Arabidopsis thaliana: one gene and its partners. The protein of the gene in region 4 interacts with the protein of the main gene of each other region in a pairwise test. Each region holds a gene or a part of one and is shown on either strand. Other genes may lie near its edges. The genes, in order: DDL, IDD14, SGR5 and AT3G21810.

Region 1 (6,003 bases), 510 kb from region 4:
TCTCCTCTCGGTTTCTTGGAACTAGGGTTGTGAATCTCGGGATCAGACTTATCCGACTCGGACCCTCCAATAGGTCAGAGCCACTGCCTCGTTTAAGTTCGGAAAGAACGGCGTCGATGCTGAGAATGCTGGAATCTATGGCAGCCAGTCACGTGATGATTTTGACAGAGACGACGTCGAACAGGTTCGTGTTCACTTCAAGCTTCTAGAGTCAAATATGTCAATCTTTGTTTTGTTACAAGGGCGCTTATAAAAGCTTCCGTACGTGGTTGTGTCTGAGTTTGTGAATGAAGAAAACAGAGGAAATGTTAGATTTATTATTGTCGTTTCTGTGTTATTTGCAGTATTTTAACTACATGGGGATACTTGCGGTGGAAGGTACCTAAGATAAGATGCACCATGTCGACATCCTTTTAATGCTAGCAGTCTCGGAGGGAGACAAGCCTAAAATTGAAGAGCTTCTCAAACGCTGACTACACGGTTAAGGATGCTGACGGCAGAACCACTCTTGACTGAGCAAGCAGGGAGGAGATCCGTGACTTGATCCTTGAATCCCTCACTAAAGGCTTGACAAATAAGTAGTTTTCAATCGCAGAGTTAGCTTTATCTTACTAAGAAAGTGATGTCCGTTTTGGTAACTCTAGTTGAAATCTCAGTCGTCTCCATGTTTCTACGTTAAGTTAGGTCGAAACCCTCAGGGAGCGACAATTTTAAAGTAGAGATTGATCTTATACAGTTATACCAAAAGTTAACCTTTTTCTCTTACCAATCGTTCATCATCATTTATTATATAACAAGCAAGCAAAAGATTTCTAAATGATGTCTGAGATTATCACCAGCACGGTAGAAAGCATACATGAAGCAGCTCAAACATCTCTAAAAACCCTGAGAAACGCAACTATCTAATCTTGTGATTTACTCGTTTCTGCTTGACTCTGATTTCATTCACTCGGCAGAATTCTCGTGCAACAGTACGTACTCTCGGCTGCAACCAAAAGAACAAAACATGTCAAGAACAGAAGAAAGTAGATGTTAACTGCACAGCAAGCAAAGATTAATCACAGAGAATAGGCACGGGGTATGATTCATAATGGGAAACCAGAACTAGAATGTGTCTTCATTAGAATACCTGCTGTTGCCAAACTTTATGGTGTCTTTCTCAAAAAGCTCATAATATCTTTGTGGCTCAATGGGACTTTCCTGAAAAAGTAAAAGAAGTTCTAATCACAAACGTTTGAATTAACCATGATAAAGAAGCACATAAGAAGGAATGTAATTGAGCACTTACATTGATATAAGTTTTGTTGGTACTACCAAGATCCATTATGTAAGGCCTGGAAAGTGACATTAAGGGAAATTAAAATTTAGCTTAAAGCCAGAAGAGGTACAAATTTTAAGCAAAATGAAAGAGCAGATAGGTTTTACTTCACTTGCTTCCCCATCATACCATCTGGTTTCTCCTTTTCCATTTCCCTGAGAAAAGCACATTCACAGTGACATAAATATTAAACTAAAAACCTTATTCTCATTAAATCTATTGTCATAGATATTACTACTTAAAAGGAGAAATACATGTCAGAACCCTACCGGTACTGAATGACAGCATGCTGCTTGCTGCAAGATGGGTGATCCGTAGGAATGTCGGCAATCCTTCTTTCACGTCCAAAGAGGTAGCAGCTTTGGCGGTGAAGGCAGAGTGGCTCTGTTAGTCCAACACATTTCACATGCACAGAAACATACATCAAGAAAACTGATTCAGGGCATTCAGAATTATTAAGCAAACAGAAATGGGAAACAAAATGTAAAATCTTATATACAATGTTCAGGGGTTCAAAGTAAGAATGACACGGGAAGCCACAGTCACAAACATATCAGATCAAAGGAGCTATTTTTCCTCTAAGAGTCATTAACATTCATAATAAGATTCATTCTAAGAAAATTGACAAGTTCTAAGAAGTATCAAGCTATAGTTTGGCTACTATCGGTAATCACGCTGTTATCTGGACACTAAACCATCAATGACCACAGTTTTCAAGTTTACATGGCTAGAGTGCATCAAAATTTCTTGAGTATCTCTTTCATTGCCACTACATGCTTTACTGCATATTTTGTGGACAAAAAATTGACGTTCACCACAGTAAGATAGTTAAGTGAAATACATAGAAGACAAATGAACCACTACTTAGACAGATGGATAGAGATGTGGAAGACGTCAAAGACTCACCATTCAGTGGTTCACCATCCTTAAAAACATACAGTCTCCATCGTTCGCTGGGTTTTCTAGCCTCTGGGGGCTCATTGAAGAGGAGTGTGATACCTGCAAAGGATTCACTCAGTCAAGGAAGCTAAGCATGCCTATGGTGAAATTTAATGCGAGAAACCACCGTCTCCATTCCTAGGAGCAAAAGCGGATTGGCAGTCAAAAGATATCTGCTGATAGCAGATGCTTATATATTGAAGCTTCTAGTCTCATTAGATATTGACCAAAGAAAGCTTTTACCCAGTGACAGACACGTACGCATACAAAATTAAGTAAATATGACCTGACAACAAAGGCAGATGTTTCGCAGTTCAAACATGCAATGAAAACACTATGGCAAAAGTTTCTAGCACAAGGTAATGGTAACAGGTGATATTCTTAAATGAAATGGACGGATCAGAAGTTTCACCTCTGTATCTGTTAGTTTCTTCAGCAAGTTTCCCTGATAGCTCAAATGATGGTTCTTCCTACAAGATATATCAAAATTAGATTTGAAGCGTTAGCATTTATGCATGGATGAGCTAAGCGAGCTCAAAATGACATTGGAAATTGAAAATCAATAGGGCTTGATATAATACCTTTTTCTTCGCTGCCAGAGCCTCTTCAACTGCTCTCATTCTCGCGACTGAATCTTCCTCGACATTTCTGTTAACGAAAACCCATAACATGGTTAAAAGAAAGACTGAAAAATTGTAACGGCTAATCTAATAAGAAGAAAACTCACGGCTCCTCGCTGCCCCCTCTTGCATTAGACCCCTGAAAAGACAAAAGGCGATAAAAATGACTGAAGAAGTAACAAAAATCTGTGGCTCGCAGAAAATGATAATTTGCAGAAAGCAACCATAATCTATATAATGAGCTTTTACTAAAAAGAGAGAAACATGAGAAGTGATGTTACTGGACATGCTGAAGGGAAACAAAGAGACTATCTTTCTTAAGTCCTTTAGCAACAGAGTAAGCAAAAAATGGCTGGCTGCAGGTTCTAGTTATAGACTCACGAGATGGATAAGCTAGATTACAGGATTCCAATTATTTATTATGTGACGAAACAAGCAGCAGAGGCTAACCTTTTCTAGCATACATCAGAGCTAAACAATTTCAATCACATTTATCTTTTCAAGCAGAATACGAATATGCACAAGTAAAACCCAAAACAAAAAAAAAAACACTTCTGAGATTAAGAACATATCCAAGCTAAAGAAAGAAGCAGAAATACCTCATCATGCCTTGAGGCAATAGCTCTTTCAGGTGAACGCCTACTACTCCTGTGACTCCTATCTGACGGTGAAGTAGACCTCTCATGTCTTCCTCTAGAGTATCTCTCATCATCTGTTCTTGTCCTTCTCCTTTTTTCAGTATCCTCTCTCCCTGATCGTCTTCTCTTATCCCCAACTTCCCTATCTCTTTCTCCTTCTCCTTTTCTCTCCCTATCCCTATCTCTTCCTATATCTCTATCCCTTTCCCTACTGTTTCTCTTCTCCCTTTCTCTACCATCATCTTCTCTCTCTCTACTTCTCCCAATTTCCTTCTCTCCTCGAGCTCTTCTCAGTCTCTTCGTACGTGGTGAAGGAGACCTAGAACTAGGAGCCATTATTGGAGTCAGGGTCGTTTTCTCTCTTCTTTGCCTTTGGAAAGATCACAAATTGAAACCAGGGTCAGAAGGAAAAGGCATGTGAGCTCCAGATAACACAGTAAACCCTAATTCCCAAATGCATAGAAACTAGAAATGGAGCAAAAGCCCTAAACCAAAAAACGTAAGCTACAGATTTCAAATACTAAATTCAGAAGTTCCGGGCATAGTCTAGGGTTGCAAGAATCGTTAAGAGAAAAAATCGCTGCATAACGAGAAAGAAAAATTTTACCTGGTGGCCGGAACTGTGACTACTTCGGCGGAGAGAAGAGGAGAGAGTGAATAATAATAATCGCAGAGATAAAAAGAATCAGAGCCAAAACGAGAAGAATCATTTATTTGGCCTCTTTTGCAAATAAATGGAAACTGAGGGGTTCAATATCAAACAAATTGTAGACGGTATGGTAAAACTTCCATTAGTTGACACGTGTCATATCTTGTTTGGTAGAAAGGATATGTATAATTAGGGCAGAAGCCGCTTGTAACGTCGTACCCTTGTACTTCCTTCGAGATTTTTGTTTCTTCGTCCTAGTTTGCAACAAAGATTTTATAATTGATCATCAAACAAATCGGTGAGCCTGTAACAAATCGAGTGCACCAGCTTTACCACCAACTTTGATAGGATAGAAGACAAATACAAGATCATAGATATAGTTGAGGTGGATAGCTAAACGACATAAACCATCAGAAGTGACAGTGATCTTGTTCTGATTGTAACAGAGTGCACCAGGTTTACCACCAACTTTGATCCTCTCATGAAGGAACTTGTGGAGAGAAATTTTCAACTTCGAGGAACATATGTCCTGAAATCCCATCTGTAGTTCTCCTTACTACCGATTTGTAGTCGCAACTGTTGGCCTTGAAGCTTATGTGGAAGACAGCATTCATAGACTCGAGCTTTAGAGACGGGTCAGTATGAGTTTCTCGGGTGATGCTTTGGTTTGTCGGGTGATGGCTCATCGAATCCCAAATCATGTCTCCTTGTTTATTTGATGTATCTTTAGTTTCATGTATATACTAGTGTACGCCAATATTATAGACGATTAAAAACTAATTCTTGTTTACGTATGAACAAAACGATATGTACTTTGTCATTATTATATTTTTTGTCAAAGATTGAGAATATTTATTTTTTTCGCATCATAGACACACAAACAAATGTTGTCTAATGATCTACCAGCCGGCTTGTATATCTAATTCAAATATCGGTCATGCATCATGCACTTCATTAGTATCTTATGTTTTGCAAAATACTGGCTAGACTGTCACATATATCAGAATCGGTCACCGTCACCTTCTTCGTTATTGTCATACGGTTTCACTATGACAAAGTCCAAATTAGGTCAAATTTTAAGCGAACATACGTAGCCTCTTACGTCATAGATTGCTGATGAAAAAGAGGCAAATTATTATAACAACCATCAAAGATTCGGTACTAACTTTACAAATTCACACAATTCGTATCTCACAATCTAAAAGTGCAATATGTCGTACATGTTTTGTAAGCTAGACAATAGTAAAATAATTATCCTGCCGGACTATAAAGGTTCGAGAACGTGGACCGACTATATTTATATATCAATTAGCTATTTGTGGTGTTAGCCTAATGTTGCCTTCATCACGTTTTCTGTTTTTTTGTTGAAGGATTTTCAAATAGATGAATTGACTATCATCACCTTGTCACGTTATAAACCATATATATTATCGTTAAACACTTAGTAGCAGTTCCCCACGAATTACATGTCTCCATCATTGACAAATTTATATTTTTGTTTGTAAGAACACTTTTTCCTTCCTCAACAAATTCTTGTACTTAATACAGATATATACTTATAAATGTTACATCAAACGCTAGATAACGGAGAATATAAGCTAAAATGAAATTAATATATCTTGTTTCAGCTTCTATCGAAATTATTTTCATTAATGGACAATATAAAATTTGATCCTTATCTACTGTTTCTGTGAATTTGTGATTATCATCAGGCAAATGTATCATTAGGCAAATGTTTTTATCTAAATTAACACTTTTATTGGAAAACTACCAAAATACATTTAGGTTCACCCATCAAAAGTACTTTATGTTGTTATGTTATATATTGTGTGCTAACTA
Region 2 (5,215 bases), on a different chromosome or scaffold from region 4:
AGCTTTAAAACGAAAGTCCACAGAGATCAAAATTGGTTTTTTTTCTTCTATAAACCTAAAGTTTAATCGAGAAAACCAAATCAGTTTGTTGTTGCATTAGCTCTTTCTTGTTTTTTTTTTTAAATATCTTTTTTTTGGTGGTATATTCTACAAACTCTCTCATACTTTATTAATGAATTCAAATTCATTAAAAAAAATATTATTATTATGTGTTTGAAAAACACATCAAACTATAAGGGTCAAAAGATATCTCATGAGATTTTGTCTTCACGTAAAAATATATGATTTCTTGTTTGGTCACATTGAGACCAAAAACCCACAAAATCCAAATAAAATCTACAATTAATCGAATTAGATTTTAATATTTTACCATTCAATTAGACGATTTCAAACTACAGTCTACACGGACGTGGGATATGGAGCGAATTGTTTCTAGTTTCTACCTGAGAATTTGACTCACGATTTGACCTAATTATTATCCCTTGCATTTAATGCAAATAATTGACTGAAAAGAAAAGAAAAATGCAGATATTCGTGTGAACAATAGGAATTGGTAATACTTTTAAGTCACAATAGTTCAACTATAAAATCCAAAACACTCAAAGTCTCAAACCAAACTGAAAATTAAGATCAGTTATCTCTATGGAAAAACAACATTTCTGTAGCTAACTAATTAACGAATGCTTGAGAATTATAACCCGTTCATTACATTACGTTAACCAACAGACCCAAGACAATTCATACAACAAAAACTATTCTCTTCTTTGGTTTTTGTTTGAGAGAAAAAAAATCAAACCCCCAGTGAATACCCAAACCTGGTAACCCACAAACCAAGAATATGTAAGAAAACCAACGAATATCAAAAGATGATCTTTAATTCCAATCAAAGAAAAAAAAGAAGAATATTTGTTTTCTTTTGTGTTCTCTCTTCAAGGTCTATGAAGATGCTCTATCACTCGCCTTTTCTCCTTCGGTAGTCGCCGAAGACATGTAGCTCACGGCCAGAGACGTGCTCTCATCGGTACAATGCGTCTGAGGAGGAGGAGGAACCAAAGCAGCCGGAGCTTGAAAATGTTGCTTGCAATTGTGGCAAGTTATTTGCATCATCGTTGCACTAATCCTCCTACTTGCTTCTTCTCTAAAAAGATGAGCTTTGTGAAGCTCAGCTCTCGCATGTTGCCTTATTCTCTTGGCTTCAGCAAACTCCAATTCCGCGATTTCGATCTGCCTCTTTGTTTCTCTTCTCGCCTCCTCTCTTTCTAGGCTCGTTTCTCCCTTCTCGTAGCTCTTCTTCTCAACTTCCGACATTGTCTTTTGATCCATTGTCCCTATAGACAGACTAAGGCTGGTCTCATCAGCACAATTCCTCGATGGAAGTAGCTGAAGCTCGATACTACCATTAGTAACGAAGGGATAGAGCAAAGTGGATGGTTGTTGTTCCGACGGTGGGGATTGTCTTCTTTGTAAAGGATGTCCAGGCAATATAGGACCAATGGAGAGGTCCCCGTTCTCGTTGTTTTCCGCGGTTGAAGCGGTTTGTGTAGCGTTTGTGGTATGTTGTTGCTGCTCATGTAAACGGTGGTTGGAGGGTTGGGATCGGCGTACGGTGCAAGTGTCTTGGTGCTCTATGAAACTTTCCACTCTGAGAAATAAGAGTGTATTATATAAGTTAAACTAAAATGGAAAGCACAAAGGAATATTTGTATCTCGTGACAGATAATATAAATAATTAAGTTAGTGGAGTTAGGTATCTTTTGGATTATATATTTGAGTATGAGATATGCAAGACTTCGAGGTTTAGTATGGTATATACTTAACAAAGTTTGATAATGAAATCTATTATGGGGTCAACGTGAGTAATCAAAACATAGTTCCTAATTATTAAATTAATTAAAAGTATTTTCAGACAACAGTACATCCAAACAAACCTCATCAGGTTCCATTAGTAAACGTTGTTTCAAGATCTATGTGCGTTATCTAAAAATCAAAACATGGACACGCCATACTAGAAAAAACATTCTTTGATTTACTTTAAGGATTCCGATAAATATATATCCTAAATATATAATAAAAATAAAAATTAAAAAGCTAGGGTTTGTTACTAAGGAATGGAACCTGGAAAAAACTCGGCCGCAGTCACAGGAGTGGCCGCGAGTGCCACAGGTTTTGAGATGAGCTTTGTAATCAGATTGAACTGCGTAGCCTTTTGAGCATCGCTCGCAGATCCATTGCTTGTGGTTACTATGTTTCCGTCGGAAGTGTTTCTTGATTCCCACGAGATCTCCGAGCGCGTGGCAAGGGTTGTGGTGGAGACATGTCGGCTCCGGACAGACGTAGACTCTTTTCCTCACTTCCTCGTTGGTCTCTCTTTTAAGAAGCTTCCATGGAACTTTATGTCGTCTTCTATGCATCTGTAGATTCTGGTCCCTTTGAAACCCTTGGTTACAGATCTCACATACGTACCGATCCGATTCTAGTAACGTTCTTGGTGATAAAGATACCACCTCCGCCTCCGGATCTGCCACCGGATAAATCAAAATCTTTAACAGAACTATTTGATAACTTTCCGGATATAGAATCTAACAACTAGTAATTCTTGATAAGAAAATTGTTAAATACCCGGTGTCCCGGCGGGTCTCCGTTTCCGCTTCTGAGTCACGGCGGTTCCATTACCGTCGGGAAGAAGATCAGAGGAAGATGAAGATGGAGGAGGGTTGTGATGATGGGTGTTGATGTTCTTGGTGGTATTGCTTCTCTCGTAGTCTATCATCGGATGAGGTTTTTAATCTCTTCTCTTTTTGTATTTTATCTCAAGACAGTGTGGTTTATAGTGAGAGAGGTACTGTGACTAAATGAAAAATAAGAACAAAATTGAGGAATCTTTTGTTTTTCATGTAGAGAAAGAAGGAGAGATTGTTTTTTATGTTTCCTTATTTATTTGGTAGAGAGAGTACTCATCTTTACTAATAGAAGAAGAAAGTATAAGATGAGTTAAGAGAGAGAAACAAAGGGCTTTGTTTTTCTGAAATCATCTTTATTTTTTTTCTCACATAAAGGGATAATAGCTTTTCTGTTCCCTTTTACTATCCAACTTTTTATAATTTTCTTGGAAAAGAAAAAAATAAATGAAACTTTCAACTTTTTGTTAATTGTTTCATTGACCTCTCACCTTAGATGGAGAAATGCATTGTATGGTCTTTGGTGCTTCAATCTTCTTCAGAGTAGTTATGAACCTCTCTCTTCTCTATCTGTACACTGTTTGTTTACAAACACAAAACATATCTATGGAGAGAGATGTTTATACATATAAAGAGAGTGGGACAAGGAGCTTGGAGCCCACATTAGCATCAGGACAAGAAACAAAAAAACATCCCCTTCCACTACACAACAATTACAAGTCATTATTATTTCATATCATAAAATATTCGATCAGAGTGAGTAAGTTTTGTTTTTCAAAGATAAATAAAAAAAAGGATAGGTGAAAAATATAAACGGAATCTTGGAAATTTGATGTTTAACAGTACATGTTTTTTAATGGTGACAAATGTATATATGTGTAGCCTTTAGCTATAGGGCTGGTGTAAATTAAAAAGGGAAGGGACTTGAGAATATTTGTTTTGAATATAAGACACATGCATATACCCAATTTATGTTTCCGTATATATACAAATATACAATGTGGTGCCATCATCTCATGCCTTTTTATATAAGAAATAGGTTTTAATCAAATATGAATACTGTGCCCACAAGTGAGACGAATCAGAAAATTTCCAATATATAGTTTTTCTTACAAGAAAAACAAAAAACAAACACAAAACCCTAGAGTCAGATCTGGTTTTTGAGTGTCAGCTGAGACCAATTCTATATAACATCTCAAACAAAAGAAAAATTAGAGATCTGGAATATGTTCGAAAGAATTTTCTTTATTAAAAAACATGTCTATAAAAGTGTGTGTGTGTGTGTGTGTTGTGCGTATAACATATACTTAAAGTCCACCACCATCTCATTAAAGGGCATTTGTCTATCCAAGTGGAACTGTAAGAAAATTGAAGTAAATACAAATTTTTTTAAAAGTTTTATTTTTCATTAAAAAATAAAAAGAGAAACAAAAAGAAGATGATACTTTATTAATAGGAAGAGAAAGGAGATGGTTGAGTTGGAAAGAATGGGTGGGAGGATGGGGGAGATGGATTCTCATCACATGCAATGCTTTTTTTTCTTTTTTTGTAAAGTTGGATATATCAAAACTTTCACAATCGCATTCTTACTTAAGAAATTAGGATAATAGTCACCTCTTTCCTTTATTTAAGGAATATATGCAGTAAAGAACCCTCTATTTGGCAAAAATAATGGATAAAAATCATACTTAAATTCGATTATTTATTTTGTGTTTTCTTTAGAAAATAAAAGGATTTTATGGGTATATTTGAAAATAACACACTAATTAATTTATTTGACACTACGTTATATATATATATATATATATAGTTTTGTTATCCTATTCTTTTGTAAATTAAACTCCACTATGATCATGTAGCAACTTCACCCTCGTCCAAATTACTCGTTTAACTAGTTTATTTAATTGCGTGAACTCAATTCACTACCTTAATTAGTTTTTTTTAGTTGTTGACTTGTATTACCTTGAATTTACCCCGGTCTTTAGACTTAGCATTATCTATAACTCTTTTTTTTGTTAATACTACTCATTAAATTAGAAAAAATGGAGTAGTATTTATGTATTTATATGAAACAAATAATAGCACCCGAAAACCATTTAGTGGAGCTGTACACTGAAACCTGAGGCATTTGTCTCGTTCGCTCTTGTTGCTATCTGAAAGTTGCAACTTCAAAAGTAAAATTGACATTTTTTAGATTTCACTGAAACCCAAAACGGAGAGTATTGACTTTAATGTAGCCTTTTACAGAAATTACTTACATACATGAAAAAGTAGTATGTGCCAATGTTACGCGTAGCCTATAGGAACCAAAGTAAAATACAAAATTCCAAATAAAAGAAACTAAACTGGCGAACGAAAGAAAAGTTTTGGAAATTAATCCCTGTAAAAGAAAAACAAGAACACTAGAATTATAAAGCATTGCAGGTGATGTTGTCTTCTACAAACAATTTTCTTTAATAAAGTAGATATATATACACTCGTCCAAAACAACACTTCAATTCGTTTTGTTGATATATATACACAATTCAATATCAAGA
Region 3 (5,058 bases), on a different chromosome or scaffold from region 4:
GCTGTTTTATCATCATTATAGATCAACACTTTTTGTCCGAATCTAACGAAAGATGAAACGATGTTTGTTTATGAACCTCGTTATAAGTGTAACGGTCACGGACCAAAACGACATCATAATAGTACATTTCCCATCACTCCATATATCAACTCGTGCCAAGCAACTACTTACCCTCTTTCAAACTTACTAAATATACTGGTATACATTAGATGTCGATAATCTCTATCATGCAGGGACTGTTTTGATCCTTAAAACGTGAGATTTGTTTTCAAATATATCACCTCAAGCTTACCAAAAATAATGTAGACAAATCAAGGATAAGCAAATGTATATTTAACCGAATTCAAATCCGCATATCACATGTTTTATTAAAAAAATTGTATATCCATTGAAAGTTCTAAGCGAATCTAAGGCCAAAGATCAAAACACGCATGTACGGATCTCCACTCTTAACTCCTTCTAAACTACTGTAGACGTTCAAGACGAAAAAATATCTATATAAAAATTTAAATAGTTAATTTCAAGGTTTTTTTTTTGTTGATAAAATTTAATTTTAAGGTTCTATATGAAACCTAGGATAAAATCATTTTTCAACAATTTAAAGTGTAATGTGGCGGAAATGACAGTAACATAGTTACAAAACATAGTCTAATATTGTTGGACCAAAGAAACAACTATATAACAACCATTACATAATATATGGTAGTTGAAAAAATTAACACAACCGGTAATTAATACACAAAAGTATAATAAAGTTAACCTCAATTTAAATATCTTATGTTTTCTTCGGTTTTACTTAAAAACCATTTTCCAACTCTCCGTCAGTATTCGCTGACGACATGTAACTCACGACAAGAGACGTCTCATCAGCCGTAGCCGCCGGAACCGCAACTGCTTGAAACTGTCCTTTACATGTTTGACAAGTGACCTGCATGATCGTTGAACTTATCTTCTTCATAGATTGTTCCTTTAAAAACTTAGCTCTCTCGAGTTCAGCTTGTGCTTTTTGCCTAATCTTTTTGGCATTTGCAAACTCGTTTTCCGCTATCTCTCGTTGCCTCTTGGCTTCTCTTTTAGCTTCCTCAGCGTAAGCTTTCTCCTTCATCGCTATCTTCATAATTTGCTCGCTCGCCATAATCTCTTTTATACGATCAAAGTTGTTGTAATGTTGATATGATGATGATGGTGCAATGGAGAGGTTTAAGTTTGTGGTATCATGATTATGATTATGATGATGAGATGGTTCTTTAACTTTTTGTTGTTGGTTTTCTTGATTAGGGTTTTGATTCGACGATAATGGAAGAAGTTGGAGTTCGAGGTTGAGATTGTTTGATGAGTTGGTGAGAATTGAAGATGAGATTCTCTGATGAATTGGACGGCCTTCTAGAGGTTGAGGAGTCGTAACCGCAACTGTACCGCCGTAATTGGTTTCACTAGACGGAGTGCTGACGGTTGAGGCGGTTCTAGAAGAGCATGCCGGGACTGTTACCGCGGTTTGTGGTGGTCGAGGCGGTTCACGGTGAACTCTCCGTGCGGAACAATTATCTTGATGTTCAATAAAACTCTCCACCCTAAAAGAAGAAAAGAAACCTATCAATTACATAATTTATATGACGTAGGATTATGAAAATGTGACAAAGTTAATAATTTTATATTAAGTTTTTCTGTTTAAACGTCGTTTATTAAATACCTTTGAACTCAAAAATATATATTATTAATATGAGTTTAGGTCCAATTATAACCTTTGTGTCGAAAAAAGGTCCAATAATAACCTAAATACATAAAATATTTCTTTAGAGATTGGGGTCAATGTCATTAATCTAAGTGCTTAACTTTCTTTTTATGTCACAAAAACCAAACAAATAGTCAAGAGATATATTAAAAAACTCTGATGCATACACATCAATACACAGAATTAGTAAAAATCATGAAGGATAGTCAAATCAAATAGTACTATAACTATCAATCTTAGTCTTTGGTCCCTAGAAGAATTTTCTATATTTGTCTTTCTATATGATCTCCTAAATATACAAAACAAACAGAGTCAAATTACTTGTATATTTTAGAAATACTTAACAAATCCTTCCAAAAGTTTGCATATCTTTTCAGAATTAATAATACCAATAATTAATTTATAAAATGGGTCAAAAAAAAATCAAATGATAGAGAGGAACAAGAAATTATACCTGGAGAAGACACGACCACAGTCACAAGAATGTCCTCTAGTACCACAAGTTTTGAGATGAGCTTTGTAATCAGATTGAACAGCATAACCTTTAGAGCATCTCTCACAAACCCATTGCTTATGGTTACTATGTTTTCTTCTGAAATGTTTTTTGATGCCGACAAGATCTCCCAGAGCATGACAAGGATTATGGTGAAGGCAAGTGGGTTCAGGGCAAACATAGACTCGTTTCTTCACCTCTATGTTGTTGTCTCTTTTAAGAAGCTTCCATGGAACTTTGTGACGTCTTCTATGCATCTGGAGATTCTGGTCTCTTTGAAACCCTTGGTTACAGATCTCACATATGTATCTGTCTGATTCAAGAAGAGTTCTTGGTGATAAAGACACAACTTCTGCATCTGGATCTGAAAAGGAGATAAGGCAAAACCCATCAAAACACATGTCTTAGTTGATTAATAAAGTTGAGATTTTAAATGAGGTTTAAGAATTAAAAACAATGAAAACCCATTAATTGTACCTATAACTTTGAAACTGGCAATAAGAAAAAGAGAAATTTTAAAACTAAACCTATAATAAACCTGTATTTCTAATGGGGTTTAAGAGAAAAAAAAAACAAAAAACAATAGTACCCATGAGTTGAAAATTTTCATAAGAAAATAAAAACAAGAAAAAAAGATTTTGAAAAATAAATTTTCTGTAGTGGGGATTTATTATTACCTGGGGTACCTGCAGGTCTTCTTTTCCTCTTCTGAGTGGATGTGTTTGTGGTGGTGACCCCATTTTCTGAAGAGGAGAGGAAAGGATCAGAAGAAGAAGAAGAAACCACACAACATGTGTTTGTGTTCTTGTTGGACAACATCACTTGATCTGTTCTCATCAATTACTCTACTTTTCTTGATCTTTCTTTTTGACTTTATTGTATTTGGATTCTAGAGATTGATTTGATGAAAGAACAAGGCCCAAAGACCAAAAAAAAAAAAAAATGAAAGAAGAAGAGATAGTGGGAGATTCAGCTTTACAAAGAAGAGGAAGGGTGATAAAGAGAGATATAGGGGGAGAGAAAAAGTTCTTTTAAGCTTTCTGCAACAAAGGCTTTTCAAAACTTTTTCTTAGGCTCTTCAAAGTTTCTCTTATGTTAATATGATGAAAGCTTTTTAATTTTCTTGAGTCTCTCTCTCTCTAGCTCTCTCTTTGGGTATATATTTTGACTCTTCTTCAAAAACCTATTTCTCTCTCATACACTTGAGAGTTGAGAGCAAATAAGGGGTCTTTGATGTCTATATTGCTTCTACTTATAAAGCTCATTGCACTATGCCATCATTGCGTAAAATGTATACATACACTCGTGTAGCTAGAGAGAGAGAGAGAGAAGGTGGTGTATTTATTTAGATTTAGATGTAGATTTTAGATTTTTCTTTTTGTTATTTTGTATTTATTTTTTAGACTTTGTTTCTTTGAGCATGTTGGATATATGAATTTTTTGGCTTGGACCCATATCTTGTCTGATTGATGAATTTGTCTGATTTTCTTGAACCTTCACAAACTATTTTTTTTTTTTTTTTTGAAACATTTTATTTTATGTTTGAGATTATCTACATGAGTTTCTTCTAACAAATGAAAAAAAAAAATATATGAGATCATACGTCCACATGTAAGGCTTGCCTTTCATCAAAATATTATGCAGGTTAGAGGCTTAAAATAGCAATAGTTGTATTGTATCTGCAAATTAGGAGAGAATTTATGAATATCGATACGGTGCTAACTCTTAGATGATGTAAGAAGCAATTAAATAATAAGGTTAAGATACTTCATTACTTCTAATTAACTTTTTGACTGTCACTCTCAAGTCCTATAAATAGTGTGATTATACATCACTAATACATCTTGCGTTTCATTATTGTTAAAGCAATCCAATAATATATAGACAATTTAAGAAAAATTGTCATTGTTAACTATATATGAATGTTATGTCATCATGTTTCCAACGTTGGTCCACATACATGTTAAGATTCTTTTCGAATTACACTTGGAAACAAGGAGAGAAAAAAAAAGGTATATGGTTCTTGTGAATAATCCAAGGATAAAAATGCATTATTGCATTAAATACCAAATTCTGTAAGTTTACAATAATGCAGACAAACTATTATTTTTTCTTTCTATTTGGCTTATATAATGGATGTACTAGTGCCCATACATAGTTAGGGGAAGAAAAAAGACAAATATATCAAATTATACATGCGTATAAAAATAATTCAAACCAAGAGTAAATGTGAAAGTAGTATTAGTATGTTTTTATAAAACCCTATTTTAGTAAAATTCATATTCGATCCCTCGCGCACGTGACCTTATGTCTTACTCACGTGACCTCTTTTTCCCTCCACTCTCCACTGTCGATTCCTTTTAGGCTATTGCCTTTCTTCTCAGTCATTCCTTAAGAAGGTTCATTAACAGATCTAAGAATGTTACTGGATCAAGAATGAAATGAATCTTATATGAAAACATTTTTTTTTTTTTGATGGAACTCATATGTAGACTACCAAAATTAATCATTATTATGGTTTAAATTTTCTCAATCATAAGTTTTGTTACTTTAACACATTTTCTCTGTTTCAATTATGGTTTAAATTTTCTCAATCATAAGTTTTGTTACTTTAACACATTTTCTCTGTTTCAATTGTAAATGCCATATGTATTCCTTCCTTAGCTTGATCGCTATTCGCTACTAGTTGTTTTTATTTTTGTTATTGCCGAATAATAAATTAATTTGCAGATAAAAGAAACAAAAGATACCTCATAATGTTTTTTGTCAGTTGTCAAAAATTGGTTCTAAATGGACCGAAAGGAAAAACAGAACAAATTAGACGAGAAGATGT
Region 4 (6,774 bases):
AACTTGTAACCAAGATTTGACATTATTACATCATCTGTATTTGTGTTTAGGAACGGCCTTCTTCCCTCTGCAAAGCTGTATGAACCATTCTTGTTGCCCTAATGCAAAAGCCTTCAAAAGAGAAGAGGTATCCTTCTTACATCTTCGTCCTCTTTATGGCCTACAAATCTTAAGGATCGAAGATTTTTCATCAACACTTTCAGACTGAATCCAAGTGTAACTCGTTTGTCTTGTGGGTTTTGCAGGACAGAGACGGACAAGCAGTGATAATTGCATTAAGACGCATCAGCAAGAACGAAGAGGTACGCATCTTCTCTTTAATCGTAATAGCAATTGAATATTTTGGAAAAGAGAGCTTGCTTTTGAGTTCCATATGTAAAACAACAGGTGACGATTTCATATATCGACGAGGAGCTTCCATACAAAGAGAGACAAGCATTACTTGCAGACTATGGTTTCAGCTGCAAGTGCTCTAAGTGTCTTGAAGATTCTTCATCAATTTGAAGCATAATTTTTGTTTTCAAAAGAACAGAAATTTTCAATTTTGCCTATATAGTGATTACACTGGAAATCACTACTGAAATAAAGAGTATGGCGTTAGTTTCTCTACGCAACATTGAAACAATAAAAGGACATCTTCGTTTGAAGATCAAGCTTTAGTTCTTTTTCAATATATATCTAAAGATGATGAACAAAGCATGTACCGATTCTAATCATGGTCGTCAATATTGCACCTAACAAACAGGCTACTTTTTAATGTTCAAAGTCTTGATCAGACGGAATCATCGTCATAGGCTTTCTTCTGTTCCATCACATCACCGTTTACATCATCCTCGTCTCTCTGAACACAAAGCACACGAGATTCGTGAGGATCATCATCTCCGAGTACTTACTTTTTGGCAAATTTAGTTTACCAACATAAGTTTTCGAGAATCTACTCGTGCTTACCTGAACATGGGCATCTCTGAAAGGTGGGGGTGGAGGAAGAGATATGAGAGGAGAGCCGTTGGCTGCTTCGGGATTCTCTTCCTCAGATTCTGCAACATCATCAAATTCCCGAGCTGCCATACTCGTAGACAATATAACCTGAAGCACCGTAACCATGTAACCAAGTCTATTATCTCGGCTTTTAACAAAAACACATCTACAACGTGAAAGATCATCAAAAGCACTAAGAATTAACATGATCCCCAACGTCGATCTGCTTCAAGTGAACACCATTTCTGCAGAAGAAGAAAGATGATGTACCTTATCGGTAGCTGAGGTGCCAATAGAGAACCTTCTTCTTTTCCAATTGTCTTCCTTTGACGAGGACCTGTTAATTGTGTCTTCATCGTTCCACGCTCCACTTTCTTCTTCAGAATATGATTTTGAAGAAAGCATATTCCAACAAGGTGGTCTCTTCTTCTCATTCTCCACCTTCTCTTCTTCACCTCTCCCTATCAAGCCTAAAACAGATGGAGAAGGTTCATAACGTGTGTATGAACTGATTTTTAGTTTAGACATAAATCTAATAGTATAGATAAGTTTACCATCTTCAACAGGTTCTTTCGTAGTATATTGATCCACATAATGCTTTTTCCTGGACAGTGAAGAAGTATTCTGCAACTCGTTATGTGGATCACAAGCAGTTCTCAAATTCCGACCATTAGTCTCTTCATCGCTCACAATATCCAGGCCTACATCCCTATTATTGCCTTCACTTCCAGCAAGATACGTACTAAGTTGGTTTCCCAATTTCTGAAGACGGGCTTCTGACCTATAGGTTTGGCATTGTGTTATTGAATGAATTTTTGCATTCTTAAATAAGAAGCAATTAGAAATAGAGATAAATGCCTTGCCTCTTTAGATCATCTTGTGCCCGCAAGAAACGGTTATATTCTTTCACAAATTTCTTCGAGCTTGAAGTAATCCTGACACACAAAAGGATTGAACAATACTTGTCACCAGAAGATCAAGTCCCAGATTTGCCAAATAAAGTTTCTTCAAGTATATCGCATCATAATTAATTTCAAGCAAACATCAAAAAGGAATTAGTCATTACCTCCTACATTCATCTTTCTCTCTATCCAACTGGGTCTCAAGCTCCTGGATCCTAGAAGTAAGAATGTCTACTTCATGTGCCTTCCTTTCAACGGACGCCTTTGGACAAAAGAAATTTGTCAATTAACTCGTATTTACGATGCAATCAAATCAATTGTGGAATGGAGAAATTTACCTCCAATCGTAGTTTGTCATCAGTTAGCATCTTAACATCCATCTCTACATCTTTTAACTGCATATAGACAAATTGGACTTGGGTCCTTTAGCAACATCTTTACAAATGTTTACATCCACTAAACATTAGATTAAGATAAAGCGAAATCACGTCCTCAACTAACACCCAACCAAGAAAATGAAAGTTTCGAACCTGCTCTTCCAGAACATTATTGTAACCATGAAACTTATTTCTTCCATCTTCTGCCCTGTCTTCAATCCTATTCCCAACTTTCAAACCACCAGCATAATCACGTCGTTCATCAAATCTACGGTTCTCCCTGTAGTCTTTATCTCTGTGATAATAAGAAATATAAAGCCGCATTGTTAAAGCATGGCCATCAAATTACCACTGAAATTTCACATAGCATGAGCATAAGCAAAACCGAGGGGAGAAGATACCTTCGATTCTCAAATGGCATAGAATTGTCATGTCCTGCAAATTTGAATTCCGTCGGTAATAAGAAAAGAAAGAAATACAGAACAAACAGTTGACAGAGACTTTTGACTCTGCCTAATCGACAACAGAACTCCATAAACCCAAAGCTGTAGATCTTACCACTAAACCTTTGTACCCGTCTTCCACTTCTGTCTAAGGAAGGTCTCCGCTCTGGAGAAAACTGTCTACCAAGTCTATCTCTTAAGTCACTATCCATATTGTGACGTCTATCTCTTAAGTCACTATCCATATTGTGACGTCTTCCTGCAGTAGACGAAACAGACTTTGCAGTAAAGCATACTTGTGCTACAGATGTGAACTCCATTTCAAACAATCAGAATCATGCCAGTCAACAACACTTGGATAAGATCACAGAAAACTACTAGTAACATAAAGAAAAACGTAATGGTGATTACTTCCCAGTTCAAAGAGACCACAATATAATGTCCTCTTCTTACCAGCAGTTGGAAAGAAACCACAATTGGGTACTAAATAAGTGGAGTCACTGAATCTCATTGATAAATCATAGGTTGAGAAGGCTTCAGATTATGTTGGACGAGAGAAAATAAGAACCAATCTTGAAGTTCCATTTAATTACACAATCAAAATCCACCAAATTTGATATACTGACAATCAAACCCCCATAAACTGCATATTTCTTGATCCAAGAAACCGCTTGAAAGACCATTGAAGATATAAATAATCACAGAAAATACCACGTGCTCCACATACATAACTGGAAGTATGAAAATGCCAGAAGTAATAACAACAGGCATTGATAAATCCTAATAACAAGCATTGCTTGCAACCAAATCTCGGGAGTCTGAAAACCATAGTTGTCGAAGAATAAGTACCCCGCAAAACCCATGATAGATTTTCTTCATAAAGAATGTGCTTTCAAGAGCAATAAGAAAACCAAGATAAATTTCACCACAAAAAAACCCAGCAGATTCCACTCCAATAAGAAAACCAATATAAATTGCAGCCAGAAAGACCAGTAGATTCCATTCCCGGATAAAAAATAATACTAAGCCTGTGAGTAGCTATCTTTCTGCATATTCCAGAATGATTCCGCAGGACAAAACTAGTCAGTAAAAGTTGATATGGAGAAAACCAAATCCAAAGCAAAGTATAATACTGATACCATTACCATGTGTTTATCAAACAGAACACTGTAGGCTGAAACGTTTTACACAATCTCATAAAATATGGAATAATACTCACAAAGCAAATGCATTGAACCACAAAACTTCAGAAGAAAAATACTTCACAGAATCATCAAAGTATAATATAAAAATCTTGCAAAGTCTAAGCAAAAGAGACTTAATTAAATAAAAACTTTTCTATTTTACTCTAATAAAAAGAAGCACTCATAAATTCATCAATCCTTCCACCATTAACAAACTTAAACCAGAATAAATAGCCTATTCAAATGCATAAACGAAAACATTACCTGTAAAAGAAGATTCGCCAGGACGACGAAGCTCAGCATTTCCATGAGCAAAAGTACAATTCGGCCTCGAACAATCACCAGTCTTATTGAACAGAATACAAAGCTTCGTCTTATACATACTCGACCCAGACATGATGTATAAACCAATTACAACGAAACCTCTTTTCTTCAGATCAAAACTTCAAAAGTCAAGCCAACCTCAAAAAGTCAAGCAAACCTCCATAACCATAGATTAACACCACCGTCTCGTTCCTACATACGAAACAGAAGAAACGCTTCAAAATGGAAATCTCTAGATTCTCACTGGAATAGGATTTTCTAAAAATCTCTAGAATCGAGCATGAATAAAAACCAGTTATACATCAATTTCGAGCTATGTAAGACTGAGAAAATCGAAAACCTACAATGGCGATTTTATGCGGTTCGTTTTCTCGCTAGGTTTATCGTTGAATCACACCTTCTTCTTCTTCTTCTTCAATGGAACTTAACGGCAAGGAGGAGAAAACAAGTCGGACGAAAATGATATTACCGGAAAATGAAAACAAAAAGAAAGCTGAAACAATTTAAGGATCGATCCTTCGTATTTATATATTTCTTTTAAGAAAGAAAATAAGTAAAAACAGAGCTGGTATTTTACTATTTTGCCCTTATGTATTCGAAGGATTAACAAAATGTCAAGATTTTGGTTTTGTATACTACCATCAAATCCGGTTTAATTAGAGGTATTTAGTTCTCTAATTCTATTCCAGTTTTGTCTTTTTTCTTTTTCTTTTTTGTTATTAACATTTGTATGATCTGTCTAAATTAAATTACTGAATATTATCTCTATATAAATTTGTACATCTCTCCATATAATGATACAACATTTTACTAAAGTATCTGTACCATTTTATAAATCTTCATAAATGGAAACTGAAAGGTTCTTATGTGTAGAGAAAAAAGCAATAAAATACAAGAGATGGAACATAATCTGAACACTTAATAAAAAAGTTCAAGTAAATGGAGTATGAATATCTCTAAACAATTAATATAGGTAAGTCCTATATATTAGTTTCTCTTTTCTGAAAAATAATTAATCTTGTGAGTTTTATTTTCAGATTTCTAATAAAGTTTTGCCAAAAGTTGACATAGTAAAGATATTAAGATAATGCTCGATATTTTGGGAGAGTTAGAAGTATATAAAATATTTGCCTTGTGATACAATTTTGGTTCTTCGAAATTACATTTTCAATCTTGGCAAATTTACAAACAGGGACGACAAAAACCAAACGCAATGATCATAACAGCGAAGTCATAGACTTATCAGAGAAAGGGAACAAGGAGTATAGGACCAAGTGATACAACTAAGTCAATAAAGCCGATAATAGGCATATGAAAGGTATGATCAAGATTAACAAAACTCCAACGCATATTGCAGAATTGGCCCAAGGGTATGATACGATATCTCGTAATGTCTCTCTGATGGTTTGACCTAAACAAACTCAAACCAAACCCGTTGCTCTCTTTTTAGTCTCTCATGTAAGATCACACCTGAAGATCACATAAACAACATCACACAGAACCAACAATTCTTCATCCAGCAAAATGTGGCAACCTTTTTGTTTCAACGCAGGAAATCAAGAAGGCAACACAAATTATCCACCAACAATTCTCAACATCGAACTCGTATAAGTAATGACAGCAACCATAATTGTTCCGTATGTTAAATCATCACATTTTCCTTCTCATTATTGATAACAGAATTGTATGCGAATGTCTTTAATCAAATGATTAACAATCATAAGACTTTTGACAACTAAAACAGGAAGAAGCAAGAGCATCTCCAACGAAAAAATAGGGATTAATATTGGAGACGGTCTTAATCGAATAATAAAACAGAACAATCATCAATTTCAGTTAGAAAAACCAAATCTGAGAAAAGAAAACATCATTGCACTCCAAACAATCCATCTCGCTCCAACAACTTTATATTCAACCAACAAACCTCATCGTAAATTCAGAGGAAACCCAATTCGTAAATAATGAAAAAGAAGATAGAACAAATGTGTGAGGCATTTCCAGGATCAAATAACATAGAAAAAAAAGCCAAATGATCAGGATATACCACAATCAATATTGCGTCAATGCCATTATACCTAAAGGAACCATATTTAATCCTTCAGAATTGGTAAAAGACGCCATTCATTATTAACAACAATAATAACAAACACAAAGATTTAGGGAAGATCTAAAAAATGCTCAGTGGAAGGAGAAGTCGTTTATTAAAGAGAGCTCACGGCAAAACAAATTTTCATTGCTTTGTCCACTGCCCTTCACGCACCTTCGTGCTATTTTATCATCATCGCAAACCAAATTTCCCCAATAAACAAAAACAAATCAAACTAATAAAGCCTCAGTGTGTGTAACAATTCAGATCATTGATTTTAAAAAAACCTCACTGAAATCCGCTAAGATAATTGTTTTTATCATCATAGGCAATTCAAAGGGAACACCAAAACAAAAACTTTCATTATAGTGGGCGAAAAAGGATTTACTCAGACAGCCAAGGGTTGTTTCTTCAAATTCTGGGTGAAGAGCCCAGATCTGAAACTCTAGTCCACGAAATATTCGTTTCATCACCATAAAC

The links.
Region 1: the proteins of AT3G21810 (region 4) and DDL interact in a two-hybrid assay, tested with the Arabidopsis thaliana proteins (one large-scale study listed by BioGRID).
Region 2: the proteins of AT3G21810 (region 4) and IDD14 interact in a two-hybrid assay, tested with the Arabidopsis thaliana proteins (one large-scale study listed by BioGRID).
Region 3: the proteins of AT3G21810 (region 4) and SGR5 interact in a two-hybrid assay, tested with the Arabidopsis thaliana proteins (one large-scale study listed by BioGRID).

Annotation. Positions count from the first base shown.
Region 1 is NC_003074.8:7,173,750-7,179,752, forward strand, and holds DDL (SMAD/FHA domain-containing protein), read right to left. Parts: upstream 4,272-6,003; 5' UTR 4,123-4,271; intron 3,886-4,122; 5' UTR 3,852-3,885; coding exon 3,477-3,851; intron 3,017-3,476; coding exon 2,985-3,016; intron 2,906-2,984; coding exon 2,839-2,905; intron 2,728-2,838; coding exon 2,670-2,727; intron 2,318-2,669; coding exon 2,225-2,317; intron 1,703-2,224; coding exon 1,588-1,702; intron 1,474-1,587; coding exon 1,426-1,473; intron 1,335-1,425; coding exon 1,289-1,334; intron 1,201-1,288; coding exon 1,130-1,200; intron 986-1,129; coding exon 946-985; 3' UTR 687-945; downstream 1-686. Other genes in the region: AT3G20555 (uncharacterized protein), read right to left, coding at 4,451-4,642, 4,725-4,865. UniProt on the Arabidopsis thaliana protein: Involved in the microRNA (miRNA) and short interfering RNA (siRNA) biogenesis. May facilitate DCL1 to access or recognize primary miRNAs. Binds RNA non-specifically.
Region 2 is NC_003070.9:25,530,039-25,535,253, reverse strand, and holds IDD14 (indeterminate(ID)-domain 14), read right to left. Parts: upstream 3,247-5,215; 5' UTR 2,771-3,246; coding exon 2,620-2,770; exon of another isoform or gene 2,519-2,619; coding exon 2,116-2,518; intron 1,643-2,115; coding exon 937-1,642; 3' UTR 576-936; downstream 1-575. UniProt on the Arabidopsis thaliana protein: Transcription factor regulating starch metabolism by binding directly to the promoter of QQS. The IDD14beta isoform attenuates the transcription factor activity by competitively forming heterodimers with reduced DNA-binding capacity.
Region 3 is NC_003071.7:430,656-435,713, reverse strand, and holds SGR5 (C2H2-like zinc finger protein), read right to left. Parts: upstream 3,440-5,058; 5' UTR 3,063-3,439; coding exon 2,903-3,062; intron 2,868-2,902; exon of another isoform or gene 2,703-2,867; intron 2,590-2,702; coding exon 2,203-2,589; coding exon of another isoform or gene 2,187-2,202; intron 1,591-2,186; coding exon 797-1,590; 3' UTR 637-796; downstream 1-636. UniProt on the Arabidopsis thaliana protein: Transcription factor involved in inflorescence stems gravitropism, probably by regulating starch accumulation in amyloplasts of graviperceptive cells. Required for stem circumnutation movements. Regulates lateral organ morphogenesis and gravitropic responses.
Region 4 is NC_003074.8:7,682,359-7,689,132, reverse strand, and holds AT3G21810 (Zinc finger C-x8-C-x5-C-x3-H type family protein), read right to left. Parts: upstream 4,778-6,774; 5' UTR 4,553-4,777; intron 4,401-4,552; 5' UTR 4,282-4,400; coding exon 4,149-4,281; exon of another isoform or gene 3,021-4,148; coding exon of another isoform or gene 2,960-3,020; coding exon 2,816-2,959; intron 2,693-2,815; coding exon 2,659-2,692; intron 2,553-2,658; coding exon 2,411-2,552; intron 2,276-2,410; coding exon 2,219-2,275; intron 2,143-2,218; coding exon 2,045-2,142; intron 1,914-2,044; coding exon 1,842-1,913; intron 1,760-1,841; coding exon 1,533-1,759; intron 1,449-1,532; coding exon 1,249-1,448; intron 1,087-1,248; coding exon 949-1,086; intron 842-948; coding exon 773-841; 3' UTR 517-772; downstream 1-516. Other genes in the region: histone-lysine N-methyltransferase ATXR2, read left to right, coding at 51-127, 246-302, 388-504.